Mus musculus: one gene and its partners. The protein of the gene in region 2 interacts with the protein of the main gene of each other region in a pairwise test. Links are inferred from orthologs where the notes say so. Each region holds a gene or a part of one and is shown on either strand. Other genes may lie near its edges.

Evidence for each region.
Region 1: the proteins of Tle5 (region 2) and Wdyhv1 interact in binary tests that used the Homo sapiens proteins (3 or more experiments, as listed by UniProt). The two-hybrid records come from large-scale screens. The link is inferred for Mus musculus from reciprocal best matches to the Homo sapiens genes TLE5 and NTAQ1.
Region 3: the proteins of Tle5 (region 2) and Nab2 interact in binary tests that used the Homo sapiens proteins (3 or more experiments, as listed by UniProt). The two-hybrid records come from large-scale screens. The link is inferred for Mus musculus from reciprocal best matches to the Homo sapiens genes TLE5 and NAB2.

The regions. Positions count from the first base shown.
Region 1 is NC_000081.6:58,154,862-58,158,513, forward strand, and holds part of Wdyhv1 (protein N-terminal glutamine amidohydrolase), read left to right. Parts: intron 1-277; coding exon of another isoform or gene 278-342; exon of another isoform or gene 343-464; intron 465-3,040; coding exon 3,041-3,156; 3' UTR 3,157-3,652. UniProt on the Homo sapiens protein: Mediates the side-chain deamidation of N-terminal glutamine residues to glutamate, an important step in N-end rule pathway of protein degradation.
Region 2 is NC_000076.6:81,564,524-81,566,889, reverse strand, and holds the end of Tle5 (TLE family member 5), read right to left. Parts: intron 2,218-2,366; coding exon 2,173-2,217; intron 2,078-2,172; exon of another isoform or gene 2,043-2,077; coding exon 1,980-2,042; intron 1,599-1,979; coding exon 1,524-1,598; intron 1,419-1,523; coding exon 1,197-1,418; 3' UTR 519-1,196; downstream 1-518. UniProt on the Homo sapiens protein: Transcriptional corepressor. Acts as a dominant repressor towards other family members. Inhibits NF-kappa-B-regulated gene expression. May be required for the initiation and maintenance of the differentiated state.
Region 3 is NC_000076.6:127,664,085-127,667,836, forward strand, and holds the start of Nab2 (NGFI-A-binding protein 2), read right to left. Parts: upstream 2,620-3,752; 5' UTR 2,375-2,619; coding exon 2,292-2,374; intron 1,055-2,291; coding exon 181-1,054; intron 1-180. UniProt on the Homo sapiens protein: Acts as a transcriptional repressor for zinc finger transcription factors EGR1 and EGR2. Isoform 2 lacks repression ability.

The DNA of each region.
Region 1 (3,652 bases), on a different chromosome or scaffold from region 2:
ACTACTGCCCAGCTGAGTTTGGATCTTCAGTGCCCACACAGAGGCCAGGTGTGATATGCAACCTTTTTTTTTTTTTCTTTTTTGATCTATTTATTATTATATGTAAGTACACTCTAGCTGTCTTTAGACACACCAGAAGAGGGCATCATCTCATTTTGGGTAGTTGTGAGCCACCATGTGGCTGCTGGGATTTGAACTCAGGACCTCTAGAAGAGCAGTCAGTGCTTTTAACTGCTGAGCCATCTCTCTATCCCATGATGTGCATCTTTTGTCCTAGCACAGGACGGGTGGATCCCTGAAGCTGGCTACGTTAGTTGGACCAGTGAAGTCCAGCTTCCATGAGGAAGGAACCTTCTCTTAAAACATGAGGTGGAGAGCTACCAAGGAAGACACCGGCTGTTGACCTCCATTTTCCACATATGTGATGCACAGCCCCCCATGTACCACATAAACAATCCTATCTTAAGAATATTGTTTGTTTGTTTTTAAGAATTATTTATTTATTTTATGTATAAGAGTACACTATAGCTGTCTTCAGACACGCCAGAAGAGGGCATCAGATTCCATTTACAGATGGTTGTGAGCTACCACGTGGTTGCTGGGAATTGAACTCAGGACCTCTGGAAGAACAGTCAGTGCTTTTAACAGCTGAGGCATCTTTCCAGCCCAAGAATATTGTTTTATGGGGGAATTTTAGAGAAGTTTTAGGAAGAGAAAGAATATGGCCAAAATACATCATATGAAACGCTCAATAAATAAAAACATTTAAAAAGTGTTTTTTTATTTTATTTAAAACATTTTTCAGCACTCCGGAGGCAGAAGCAGGCAGATTTCTGAGTTCGAGGCCAGCCTGGTCTACAAAGTGAGCTCCAGGACAGCCAGGGCTATACAGAGAAACCCTGTCTCGAAAAACAAAACAAAACAAAACAAAAAATGATAATGATATCAAAATGTTATTAGCACATACCATTAATCTCAGTGTTTGAGAGGCAGAGGCAGGAAAATCTCTGAGTTCGAGGCCAGCCTGGTCTATAAATCAAGTTCCAGGACAGCCAGGGCTACACAGAGAAACCTTATCTTGAAAAACCAAAAAAAAAAAAAAAAAAAAAAAAAAAAAAAAAAAATGTAATTACACTGTTTTCCCCTTTCCCTTTTATTTTTTAAAATTTATTTTTATAATATTTTATACATATGAATGTTTTGCTTTTGTGTGTCTGTGCACCACATGGTGCTGAGGAGGTCAAATGGGGACATTGGCTCTCTTGAAACTGGAATTGTGAGCCACCATCTAGGTGCTGGGATTCAAACGGAGGTCCTCTGCAAGAACAAATGTTCTTAACTTGGGAGCCATCTCTGCAGCTCCTCTCTTTTACTTACTTACTTTAGACTTATAAATGAGGACACTCTCCTACACTACTTATTTTAGACAGGATCTCACTATGTATTCCTGGCTGGCCTGAAGCTCACTCTGTAGACCAGGCAATTTTTTTAAAAAAGATTTATTTATTATTATACATAAGTACACTGTTGCTGATTTCAGACACACCAAAAGAGGGCGTCAGATCTCATTATGGGTGGTTGTGAACCATCATGTGATTGTTGGGATTTGAACTCAGGACCTTTGGAAGAGGAAGAGCAGTCAGTGCTCTTACCCGCTGAGCCATCTCACCAGCCCCAGGCTAGTCTTAAATTCATAGAGATATTCTCCCTGAGGGCTGGGATTAAAGGTGTATGCCACAATGCCTCTAACTCTTAAAAAAAAGGAAAAAAAAAAAAGAACAGATTTGTTTTATTCATGATTGCTTGCTTGCATACATGTACCCTCAGACCCAGAAGTGGGTGTTGGATCCCCTGGAGTCACAGATGGTTGTGAGTTGCACGTGAGTGCTAGGAACTGAGCCTGGGTCCCCTGCAATGGACGCCAGTGCTCTTAGCCACTGAGCCATCGCTCCCTGCTTCCTTAAGAATATTTTTTACCCGGGCAGTGGTGGCGCACGCCTTTAATCCCAGCACTTGGGAGGCAGAGGCAAGCGGATTTCTGAGTTTGAGGCCAGCCTGGTCACAAAGTGAGTTCCAGGACAGCCAAGGCTATAACAGAGAAACCCTGTCTCACAAACAAACAAACAAACAGAATATTTTTTAATATGCATATTCTCTTTCCTTGCCATCTATATTGAAGACACTGGGAGTAAGAGTGACAATGTGTTGTTTGTGACTTTGTCCTTGCTGTCCCTTTGAATTTCCTGTAACTTGCCCATTTAGCTTGGAGATTGACAGTTTGATTATGTATGCGCCCTTTCTACAAAATTATTTTTAAATAATTTCAGGCTTCTAGAAAATTTGCTAAGTAGGACAGAGTTCTTGCATAACCCTCCCTCAGGTTCCCTTAGTCTTAAGTTTTCTTTTTTTAAAGATGTATTTATTTTTAATTTTTAATGCATATGGGGGTTTCGCCTGTATGTATGGTAGTATACCTTTGTGTCCGGTCAGAAGAGGGCATCAGATCTCCTTGATCTGGAGTTACAGATGGTAGTGAGCCACCATGTGTGTGGCTGTTAGGCATCAAACCTATACCCCCTGGAAGAGCAGTCAGTGTGCTCTTAATTGCTGAGCCACTTCTCCACGTCTTTGGTGTTAACAGTAGCATATAACCATGGAAGCATTAATAACACTGTTCAGTTTTTCAGGGCTTCTCACTCACTCCCTATTTCTGGTGCAGAATCTAACTCAGGGATATGGCATTTAGTTGTCATACCTTTTTTTTTTTCCACCAGTCGGTGACAGTTCCCTTTCTTTCCTCTCTTTTACAACCTTGAAATGTGAGAAGACTATTGGCCATTACACCCTGGAGCATCCTTCCATAGGGTGACATGATGCTGTGTCTTGAAGAGATTGCTATGTGTTTGATGTGAGGACATTGCAAGAGTGATCTTGAACTCCTGTTTATTTGAGTGGACTCCTCACCCCTTAGGTTTCTGCGTTCTGCTGCTGCTGCTAACCTGAAATTTATTTCAGCAGACACTTTTATGTTCTTTTCTAGACTCCAAAATGAACCTGAACGACTTCATCAGCATGGACCCTGCAGTAGGATGGGGAGCTGTCTACACGCTGCCTGAGTTTGTGCATCGGTTCAGCAGCAAAACCTACCAAGCCTGACATCCGGGCTGCAGCTAGAGAAGCTCTAGGGTCTGAGTAAGCCATCCTTCCATTTAAGAGAGAGCGTGGTACAGGTGGCCTATAGGGATATTGTTCTCACTAAATGTGAGTGGAAACATTAGTGAACACAGATGAAAATGAATGACTAAGTCCCCCACCCCCTTTTTTTAGGCTGGGGATCTATCCCAGAGTTCTATCTCCAACCCTAAACAGTCAGACCCCAGCCTCAGACATAGATATGCCACATTCGGTATATGGTTGCTAAAATGTTTCCATGGCTTGCTTACTTCGGTGTGTGATGACGTAGGCCAGCAATTGCTTTTGTAAAACTAGAGGTGTGGACCTGGAGTCGGCTCCTTTTGTCTGCTTCCTCTGCTTCCTGTCTGGCTAGACTCTAAACTCCTTGAGCACAGGTTTGTGGCCTGTGGCTCTAAGACTCTGTTGCCCATTAGAGGTCCCGGTAAAATGTTTCTAGAGTCAGCACTGCTGCTTGGTA
Region 2 (2,366 bases):
GACAGACGGTAGAAGAGAACAGATCCCTGCAAGGCGTCCTCAAACAGGACACAGACATGATAAACCAGCAAACAGAAAAACAAAACAGAAAACAAAGCAGATAAAGAAAACAGGTGGCACACAAGACTAATCCCTGGCCTTGGAAAACAGAGGCTGGAAAATTTCTGTGAGTTTGAGGAATGAGTCCAGGGCATTCAGGGCTATACAGAGAAAACCCTGTTTCAGAAAAACAAGAAAGGAAAAGGTCCCCAAACCGAGGCGCATGCCCAGGGGACAGCCTAGCTTGGGAGGGGTACAGGGAGCATCCAGGCCATCTCCCAGAAGGTAACCAAGGGACCCATGTGGGTACCACAGCCACCCTGCCAAAACAGTGTGAAATCTGAGCACTGAGTTGCACTGTCTGGGCCCAGGTCCCCAGCTCACCCTCTCTGGGTCTTTGGTTGCTCCAGGGATGTCTTATTGCAGGACACGGGGTGCCCTGAGGAAAGGGGTCCCCACCCACAAGACAGAAGCAGGGACACAGTGGCCAACCTTTTCATGTTTTTATTTTGAAGGCACAGCTAGACCCCATCCTCAGTACAGCGGCTTGGCCTTTGACCTCTGGACAGAGACCAAGGCGACCAACAAAGCTAACCCTATGACAGACACTCCTGGGGCTTCCTTCTTTTCCTTTCTGAGATGATAGCTATAGAATACTGGCACAAGAAAGAAATCATAAACAAACCAACTTTTAACCCTCACGTTTATTTGGGGAAGAGGGGAGGGAAGTTTGTGGGGTGCCCACCCCCACTGCAGTCCCGAGCCAATGCTTTCTCTCTGTCCCCTTCTTTTGTGGTTGAGGGAACCGGAGCTGGGGGAGCTGGGGGGAGGGGTCTGGGACTAGCAGGTGTGCAGTGCAGGAAGCAGAGAAGGGGATAGGGGCAGATTCGGGGTGCACAGGGTGGAAAGGGGCAGCTAGCGTTGTGTACATTCTGGGCCGAGATTGGTGGCTGTGGCCCAGGGAAATGTTGAAGGTGGGGAAGAACCCTTAGCCTGGGGTGTCCCTCTGGCGTCCCCTAGGCCCAGGGTGCACAGCCAGAACCAGGACTGGAGGTGTAAGCTTGGGTAGTGACAGAGCTGTGTGCTGTGTGGCCCTTAGAACACTGCGCTCTCTGTGCCTGTCTCCCCTGGTCTCCCCCCTCCCCCTTCCCCAAGAGCTAATCCGACTTCTCTCCGTCATCCTCCTGGTGGGTGTCCCCATCGTGTCCGTTCTTGTCCTCCTTGGAGAGGTGGGTCTGAGAACCCAGAGCAGAGAGTGACAGCAGGCCTGTGCCTGCACTGACTGCAGGGAGGGACGGTGGCTGGAGCCCGACAGGCAGCGGTGTCAGGGGCAGGGCCAGCGCCTGCAGCTGGGACAGCTGGTGAGCCTGGAGCTGCTGCTGTGGGGTGGGGGTGGGGGTGACAGAGTCAGCCCAGGGTCTTGTCACCTGACCCTGGCCACCCAGGTCAAGTCAGTCCCCAGTCCACCAGAGGCTCCGACTTACTCGGATGATGGAGTTCAGCTCAGGAGCCGTGACCTGCTTGGCTCTCTCGATGGCTCCCAGGACCTGCTGCTGATGCTGGAATAGGCAAGGGAGGGGACAGAGTTCTCTCAGGCAAAGCTGGAAAGGGACTGAGGGGCGGGGGCGGGGGAATGGCGACTCCTGTGCAGTAGGCAACCAGTGCAAAAGCGCAAGAGAAGTCCTGTCCTAGGGGCTCAGGGGCTGCTGGGGTGGGAGACTAGGAATCCAACTTCACAGGAATTTCCTTAGAGCTGGGGGGGGGCTCCCATCGCCTGTGCCCGCCCACCCAGGGAGCTCTTTCTGCCTTGCCACAGGGGTCTGAGTGCAGCTGCTCCACGTCTCACCTTTGCTAAGCTCAGAAAGGGCAGGTGCGTGCCCAGGGAGTGCTCAGCAAGGTGCGGAGGGGACCCCACTGCCCCCTGCTGGTGGCTTGCTTACCTCCTGTGACAAATAGGGCAGAACCTGGGCGCAAATCCCATTCAGCCTCTTCACAATTTCCGCCTGGAACACACGATTTTCCCTCAGTACCTGGGGCACTTGGAGGGGTGGGAGGGGGTAACGGGAGTGGCCTTAACGCTCAGTCTGGGAATCACAGGGCATTGAGGACATGGAGGAGGACAGTGAGACTTACCTGTTTGTGCATCTCGATGTTCAATCCGTAGGACATCTCATAGTACTGTGAGGTGGAGAGGGGTGTCAGGGACCGAAGGGATGTGGCCTTGTGGGTGGCCTGCCTCTCCCTACACATTCCAGCAAGGCTACTCCCAATCCAGTGAGCTCCTATTTGTTCTTCAAGACCCCAGTCACAATGCCCCAAGACCCCAG
Region 3 (3,752 bases), about 46 Mb from region 2:
CTTCCCTTTGGGTGACAAGAACGTAAAGCAGCAGCAGGGGTTGGGTATGTGTGAGTGTGGGGAAGGAGCTTGGGTGGTCGTGGGGACAGTCATACAGAGGTGGAAGACGGAAGAAGTCTCAGAGGCAAGTGAACTGAGCCCCAGGAGTGAAGGGCAGCCTTGAGGACCCGGGGTCCTCACCTCATGCAAGCTAAGCTGTTTGCCCTCCCGCCTTTTGGAGTCCAGGCGGCCGTAGATGACGCTGTACTTCCGGATCTCCTCTTCCTTCTGGGCGTCATGATCGTCCATCTCAAAGATGTGCCCCACGCTCCGCGCCAGCTTCTTATTCAGCTTCAACAGGGATGCGATCTCTCCAGTGTCACCCCTGGGGAAACTCCGGAAGATCCTCTCCACACTCTCCACCACCATTCGCACCATCTCTGGTTCCAGGCGGTCTGGACCACCCCCTGCACCACCAGCTGCCACCCCCCCAACCCCAGGCCCTTCAGAGACTCCTCCCCCTGCAGGTGGGGAGAAAGGGGGAGACCCGGCCTCCTCTTCTCCCCCTGCTCCAACATCAGATTCTGGAGTGCTCTGGCCTGGCCAGATCCGGGGATCCCCTGCCCCAGGTCCTCCAGGGAGTGGCGACAACTTCTCTCCAAGTTCGAGGGGACTCTTGGGGCTAAAGCTTCGAGCACTGCCCGCCTTTTCTCCTGGGCTGCCGTGCCCATTGCTCATGCTCCCTTTCCGGGTACCAGCTGTCTCAGAGATCTTGAAAAGTGGGATGCTGGAGACGGGCACAGCAGGCACTGGTTGGCTGAAGAGCCCTGGATTGGTGGCCCATTCTCTCAGAGCCTTCTGTAGACGTCGGACATGGAGTGGTTTGGTGGCCATGCCCACGAGTGCCATGATTTCCAGGAACTCCTCCTCGCCAGCCTCACACAGCTGCTGTACATCATCTCCTCCCTGCTGGATGAAGGTCTCGTAGTAAGAGAGGAGGTTGGCGCGTTGCAGGACCCGATACAGCTGTAGCTCACCCAGTGTCCGAGGCAGTGCCATGGCTGGGGCACTTGCCCTGAGGAGAAAGGGCAGGAGAGAGGCAGTGAGTATGAGTGCCCTGCTGGGGTACCAACCCACACTAACAACTGCCCTCTTTCCTGGACAGTGCCCTCCGATCCCCAGGAGCACAGAAGGCCGGTTGCCCGACCTAAGCTATCAGGAAAAACGCTTACCTCGTCTTTTACTTTGATCTTTCTGGTCTGGGCAGCACCATCTTGAGCCCTGAGACTTTTCATAACTTCCCTGAAATGGCTGGACCCACTTCCCTCCCAACTAAGTCCTTACCTCTTCCCCCTAAATACTCAGCAGCCTCAACATTACTTAATGTAACATCCCATATTAAAGTTAACTTAGAATACTAAGAGCTATTGCTGGCAGCTGTACTCCTTGGCCAGGTAGCTGAGAGGGAGGGGTGTGGCCTCTTCCTTGGCATTTAGGGAACCTGGTAGACCCTTGCTCCTGTTCTTCGCTTCCAAGGATTAAAGCACCCTTCCTAGACTCTGTCCCAACTTTCCAAAGGCTGCCCAGTTCCCTTCAGTTACCCCCTCTCCTTTGATTGATCCTTCCTACTATTCAGCAGGCCCCTCTCTTCTGGGAAAGGGGGAGGGAAGCCTTGATTGTTCTGCTCTGGGGCCCTTCTTCCCACACACTCCCACAGTAGCAGCGTCTGTGGGCGAAAACCGCCTGGGGGCTCCCGCCTACTCTCCTCTCGCTTGTTTTCCACCCTTATCTTCGACAAGGGAGTGCGGGAGAGGTTGAAGGTCTCTTGAGGAAGGGGCTGCACCCCTCCTCACCCTGTGAATGGTCATTTCACGGACAAGGGAGGCCTGAAGCACACCCCCTTCAGGCCCGCAGATGCTTAACTCAAAGGAACCACCTTCTCCCGGATGCCTGCTAATGACACACTGAGACAGCTAAGAGCCGCCACCCCTCACACTGTTGACAGATCAAGCTCTGGAGCTTCCCCTGGCTGGGGGGACATTCTTTGCAGGGGGCTCATGTGCCAGGTTATGCCCACTGAGTAAACCTGGAGTGGAAAACGAGGCAGTACTCTATCGTATCCAGGTTCATCGGGTCTTTGTTTGCTTCCAGGATCCCCTATTTCGAATACTCACCCCCTTTTCCATCAGTCTCCACCTCCCACCTCCGTCCCGCTTCCCCACGTCCTCTTTTCGACCTCCACCCTTTAGACCCCATTCCGGAGTCCAACTCCACCCATCTCCACTCCCTGCCACCTCCTTTTGCCCACTAACTTGAATCTGGGTTGCGGGGTCCGGCGTGTGTTATCCCCTCTGCCAGGTGGCTGTTCCGCTGTGGGAGAGGGAGCTCTGTGCATGGACGGCCAGAGATCACCAGTGCCTCCCCTCTCGGTGCCCGGCGCCTGCTGCGCGCTGCTCTTTGCCTGGCGCGCGCGGCCCGGGTCCACCGCTGTCCAGGCTCCGTCCCTCCCTCCACGTCTTCTCTCTCGGAGCCTCCGCGCCTCTGTCTGTGCCTCTGCCCCCACCTCCCCGGCTGCGCTTGCCGCCTCTCCGCGCCTCCTCCCCCGCAGGACGCACAGGGAGCGAGGCCCGGCGCTGCGCTGGCTGCCGGGCTGGCGGGAGGAGGGCGTGGGCAGAACCGGGGGCTGGGACCGGAGGCGGTGGGTGGGAGCCCAGGCCTGAGCCTTGGAGAGGCTGCTGTGGAGACTGAGAGGAGGAGACTTGGGGGAAGGGGGGGGGGGGGAGGTGTGGAGGCGGAGCGGGGACTCAGGAATCGGGCGCTGAGTTGGGGACCGAGGTGACCGAGGCCGAGCTGTGGAAGGGGGAGCTTGGGGACCCAACGGGCGGGGCAGGTCGCTCCTTGCCGCCCACGCCGGATGCACAGCCGGCCCTCTCTGCGCCCACGTACCCACGTGAGCGCCCCGCCGGCTACATTCCTACTCCCTGCACCACTCCTACTCCTGTGAGCCGAGAGCGCAGTTTCACAACCACGCACAAGTATACAAAGACACGCGCACGTACGTGCACACGCGTCCAAACAACGACGCGGACGCCCGTTGGCCGCACTCTGGCCGCGCCGAGCCGTTAGTTTGAATGTTAGAAGTGATGGGGGAAAAGTTAGCGAAGGGTCGGGGTGTGCTGTTCCTCCTGCTCGGCTCCCCTAGGATGTATCCTTAGGGTAAACCTGTTAGCGCGGGGCTGCGCAGGAATCCCTTCGGTATCTTAACACCGTTCTCTGGCCTAAAGGTTGTAATATGAAGAGGCGGCTCTCAAACCTTGGTCGTAAGTTATACTAGAATCTACTATTTACTTGAGCGTTGGTTAGGCACGTCGGGGTTGCTAGGTAGAGCCCGGATGGGTTTACCATGTTTTCGTGGCACCCTCTTTTCTGATGGCCAGGCCTTACTGCTTGGACGACTAGATAGCAAAGCCAGGAAAAGGCAGGTACCTTCTCTGAGGTCATGAGTTATTGAACCTCTCTGGACAGTGAAGTGGAAGCTGAGCAAAAGGCTAAGAGTAGTCTACGTGACTGTCCACCGTGGAGGACCGCCTTCAAGGAGCCCAACCCCCTCGGTTTCTTCTAGTCCCATCTGGTTCCCATTACACGCCCACGGCTAGGAGGGTTGGGGGGGGGGTATTGGGCACGCGGGGGTTGTGTAGGCCTTTGGGGAAAGGGAGGGTGGGGGTGGAAAGCGTGGCCGACTGGCCAGAGGAAACGTCCCTCTAGTTTGAAAC